Kluyveromyces lactis: one gene and its partner. The protein of the gene in region 1 interacts with the protein of each later gene in a pairwise test. Links are inferred from orthologs where the notes say so. Each region holds a gene or a part of one and is shown on either strand. Other genes may lie near its edges.

The links. The genes of interacting proteins can lie anywhere in the genome.
Region 2: the proteins of SPS18 (region 1) and KLLA0_A03883g interact in a two-hybrid assay, tested with the Saccharomyces cerevisiae proteins (2 studies listed by BioGRID). The link is inferred for Kluyveromyces lactis from reciprocal best matches to the Saccharomyces cerevisiae genes GCS1 and SNC2.

Annotation. Positions count from the first base shown.
Region 1 is NC_006040.1:1,593,114-1,596,142, reverse strand, and holds SPS18 (Sps18p), read right to left. Parts: upstream 1,584-3,029; coding exon 510-1,583; downstream 1-509. Other genes in the region: KLLA0_D18964g (phosphatase PAP2 family protein), read left to right, coding at 1-250; SPS19 (2,4-dienoyl-CoA reductase (NADPH)), read left to right, coding at 2,643-3,029. UniProt on the Saccharomyces cerevisiae protein: GTPase-activating protein (GAP) for ARF1 and ARF2. Involved in intracellular vesicular transport. Required for transport from the trans-Golgi network.
Region 2 is NC_006037.1:343,474-345,621, forward strand, and holds KLLA0_A03883g (uncharacterized protein), read left to right. Parts: upstream 1-1,168; coding exon 1,169-1,252; intron 1,253-1,376; coding exon 1,377-1,625; downstream 1,626-2,148. UniProt on the Saccharomyces cerevisiae protein: SNC1 and SNC2 are vesicle-targeting proteins essential for normal secretory traffic between the Golgi and the plasma membrane. They may also be involved in vesicle fusion.

The DNA.
Region 1 (3,029 bases):
TATGTTGATATATAGGCAATATTTTCCACCAATTTGGAGGAAGCCTGCAATGTATACCTTGGCTAATGGTACGAAAGTTGAGCAAGATATGACTTTAGCATACGAACCAAAACGTTTTTTCAACGATCAGGAGTTTACATGGAAAGTCGACCCCTCACAACAAAAGGGTGATGGTGAAGAACCAGAAATTGTGACTGTAAGAAATTTGAGTAGACGAACATACCCAAGCAATAGTCACGCAACTATATAGTACCCAAGCATACGACTATCAACTGTTCTTTTTTTCCTTTCTATTTATGCTTTTCCTTTTCATCTATATCAAAAATAAAAAGTGGATCGAAAGTAAATATCATTTCATCATCGAAGTTTACTTCCAGTTTTAAAATATTTGAACAAAAATATTATGTCACAGGATATGTGATAGAGGGTTTCAACTCCACCCCAATTATTTAAATGAGATATTTATAAAGTAAGTGAAAGAAATTTGAGTGAGTTTAAGCTTCTCAGCTTCAAAATTCTTCCCATCCGTCTTCTCCTGAAATCTTCTTTTCTGAAGTTTTGTTTTGTGCCGGAGCTTGGGTATGCGTTGTTGAGGTAGCATCTGCCCCGTCAAACAGTTTCGTGTATTGTGATGAGGTAGCAGGTCCATCCTGTGTTTCCTGTAATTGTTGTTGCAGACCCTTTGTGAAAGAGTTGAGAGCTTGCAGTCCATAACTACTGGATTCTTGGAATTTTTGACCAAACTGCTTGGCAGCCCTGACTGCCTCTTCAGATAGATCTTTTTGTGAGAATTGTTCGACATTTGGTTTGATGATAGATTCTTGAACTTCTTCCATTGATTTCGACACGGCTGAAGAAAATAGGCCCCAACCCTTTGTGAAAGTGCCAAGCGGGTCCTTTTGAAAGTTTTCCAAAGTCAAGGTAGTAGAGCCAGGTTCAGCTTGATTTCCTTTCTTATGTTGAATAATAGGCGTGTTTCCGAAACCTTGATATTTACCACCTTGGGATGGCGGTATATGTTCTGGTTTCTGTAAGTTTTTCTCACCGAGTGTAGCGAAATAGGATTCATTTTTCTCCTTTTGGTTTACTGCTTCTTCAGAGCCAAGTTTTTCAGACAATGAACCATTTAGCTGAGGGGTACCGGACCTAGAGTTAGTTGCTGTAAGCTGGGTTGGGTCAAAATCAGAGCGATCAGGTTCTTCCCATTCTTTGCTTTCACAGATAGCAGTTAGTTTATCTTTATAATCCGAAGCAATAACGTTATCATACTTCAACTTCTGAGGTAAACTCGAATCAATCCCATGGTCTTCCAGATACTCAGTAAATTTGTCATTACCACCGTTTTCCATTCTAACTAGTTCGTCTGATTTGAACTGATCCATAGTGATGGATCTAACGAAGGAGATGTGCACTCCTAATCCTCGGTGAATACCGGCACATTCCAAACAAATGAAAACACCGAATTTAGGCGAGGCCCATTGTGGATTATGAGCCCCACAGTCAAGGCATTTCTTGTTTCCACCAACTTTTTGTAACTGTAACAACCTTCTCCTGTTATCAGGATCGACTTTCCACTCTGACATTGGATCTAGACGGAGAATTTGATAATGATTGTAGTGATCAACTGGAAAAAAAAGAAACACAAGCTTTAAATTCTCAGCTCACTGATTTAAATTGTCAAAAGTGTTATTGATGGCTCCTAACACTTCAGGCACTATCGATAGTTCCAATTCTTCTTAATTGACTTTTGCTTTCCAGCCACAATATCGAACAAATGTTCTACCCCAAAACACAAACTAACGAACCAACACTTAACCTCTAAAGCGTGTCAATACTGTAACAAATATCGAATGATTCACAACACAGATGCTGAGCCCTAATAATCACACTAGGAAGCAGAAGAAACACACGGGTACGTCAGAAACCACAACATTCACCGATTCGTTGATTCTCATGATAATAATCAACATGCTAAATTTCGATTTTCACCGGAAGGTCTAGATTTGAATTTTCATGCAAAGAGATAGAGAAAAAGCCGCCCATGCCCGGGTAACAAATGTTCTTCTGGCTTCGGAAATGAAAGTATTAAACACGAAGCCTGACATCCTGTCTCGAAAAGTTGCGAAACAGCTCGGTACCGGTATCATTACGTTGTTAAAGGGGCGATATAATGGTTGGAACTTGCGTTTTGTTTCTGGAGTGCATTGTATAAGAGTTACTGAACAACTACTAGCATTTTAATAAGCTAATTAGATCAATCAGTACCCGGATAATTTGTTACCCGGACAGAAAATACATCCTTCTCCGCTCTTTATTCAGCAGCTGTAACCTGATAATGCCACTTCTCTATGGCAATTATATAGTCAGACTTGTTAAGCCCGTAAGTAGAAGTAATGATCATCGAATTCAAATGACTCCATCTCCAACTAGGAAGCTAAAACATATTCGCAACTTAGGGGATTGCCCTTTTCTTAGGGTGTTAGTTTGAAATTATCTTCGCTGTGTTTATTGTATATATATATACTGGTGGGTAAATACTGCTAGGTCAACATTTTCTAGATTTAAGGGACATATACTTCATCACTTCGATGAATTGTGACAGGAATTGAGCATAGAGGTACGCAGAAACAGTATAAGAGAGAATGCCTAACACTTTAGATAAAACTTTTGTTGAGAATGGGCCGTGGAAAAAGGATACGTTCCATGGCAAGGTCGTGTTTGTCACCGGAGGGGCAGGAACGATATGCAGGGTACAAACAGAAGCAATGGTGCTTTTAGGTTGTAAAGCTGTAATCGTTGGTAGAAACCCGGAAAAGACGAGGAAAACGGCCCACGAGATTGGACAATTGGTCCATGATCCACACTCTTGTTTGCCCATTTCAAGCGTCGATGTCCGAAATGTGGATCAGTTGCATGAGGCTGTTAAAGTGGCCATTCAAAAATTTGGTAGGTTAGATTACGTTATCGCTGGCGCTGCTGGTAACTTCTTGGCGGACTTTACACATCTATCCTCGAATGCTTTCAAATCA
Region 2 (2,148 bases), on another chromosome or scaffold:
TCCTCTTGAATGCTGCTTCTGATCTGAGATATTCGTTAGCATGTGTTTCGCTTCGCTGGATGGCTGTCGATTTTGAATCTATGTTTCGATCTGAGTCACTTGAACTGCCATAACCGTGGAAGTCGCTAGGTTGAAGGAAAGTGTCATGTGGTTTATTTTTTGAACTCCCAGAGTAGTCCCAGTTTGAGGAAGGAATCGAAATTGTTTGGATAATATTGACAGTACCAGTATACTGTAAAGAACCATTCAGTTCTTGAGATATAGCAGTTCCATGCTCATTTACTGAAGATGAACGAATTGATTGTTGCATGGTCGTGCCCTGTTCTGCTACTTTGCAATTATTGACATTCTGTCGAGCTTCGAATGAGGAATCGTTTTATGTTGCTCTGTTGAACATAGGTTTTTCAGACTCATTCTGAGGTTCTGTTGGGATTGATTTACTGTTCGTGATTTCACCTGCATCATCATCATCATCATCATCATCGTCATCTTTTGGATACATTTCAGTGTTCTCTTCACAAGATGAAAAGTGCGGGTCTTCACCTTCTCCACAATTTGAATCAGAATAAACGCCTTCATCGTCATCATCATCGACAAGTGTATTAACAGAGCTAACTTCTGACAGACATGAATCGCCCTGTGAGCGTTGCTTCCTCCGCACTACACCATTCTGTTGTTTAAAATATCTTGTTCTTCTTTCTCGGAGATTGTACATCGTTAAGGAAGCTGCAACATTTGTCGAAATGTTCTAGTTGATATTAGCCTTATAGTAGTAGCCATGACGTGCTTTAGCGGAGGATTATTTAGATTGTAAATGTAACATAGTTTTGTTGTCTATGTAGTAAAATATCATTTACGCGTAAGGCTTCGTGTCTTGATTCACAAACCATTAATCACTATGCACGTATAGATTCAAATCCTAATCACTATTGACGGTGGCAATTTGTCCCCGGTACTGTTTTTTGAACGGCAAATCGAAAAATGGATAGATTTAGAAGTTAATTTAAAGAACAAACAGGCTTTTAAACCTTTATCATGGTGGATTTGAACCATTTTCAAAAGTACTAACCAATTTGCAGTGAGATTTGACTAGTAGTTGTGAAATAATAGTTTGCTATCAATTGAACCGGAACTTAGGTGCTGAGAAGTATAAAATAATTAAGCAACAATGTCATCATCTGTTCCATACGACCCATATGTCCCTGCTACCGAAGAGACCGCAGGTGACTCAAAGACTGCAGCTTTGAAATCCGTATGTTTGAAATGCATTTAACTATTTTACTTTAGCTCTAATATGAACTTCAAAGATACTAACAGTTTGAGTTGAAACGACATGACGATTGCTGTCCGTCTGTCTGTTTTGTCTCTACAAATAGGAAATCGATGATACCGTCGATATTATGAGAGATAACATTAACAAAGTTGCCGAACGTGGTGAAAGGCTAACATCGATACAAGACAAGGCTGACAATTTGGCCGTGTCCGCCCAAGGTTTCAAAAGAGGGGCCAACAGAGTAAGAAAGCAAATGTGGTGGAAAGATTTGAAGATGAGAATGTGTTTGGTTCTAGTGGTAATTATACTTTTGATTGTCATCATCGTTCCTATCGCAGTTCATTTCAGCTAGAGTTTCTAAATGAATAGGATGAATATCAACCTCAAGATTATCATAGGGTTGAACTCAAAGGTTCCTGTTTTATTTCATTTTGAAACCCGTTCATCTACAGTTTTATGCTTTTTTTTGTCCCTGCTTTATCACGATTCTTACTTTTAATGATACGAAATCAATCCGATACTCTATACGATATTCCATCAGACCATGTGATGCCATCTAAATTGTGCAAAGATGCGATATGGATTAGTCATGGAAGCCTGGCATTAACAGTAGCTTCTGTGCTTTTTCTTTCCTTTTTGATACATGCTATTTAGACCGGGACATTTGCATGTGCATTTCTGTTGATCATATATGTTTACCTTAAAAAATCTAGCAGATAAACTTATTCTTCTCAGAACTATAGCATTAATTTGGCCATGCTTCATCATTTTTCTGACATGAATAGAAATGCATTTCATTCCCGTCTACCACTATGTGGTTATATACTGGTAAAGAAAATGTACCTAATACTCAAATTTGTATAAACATATAAATA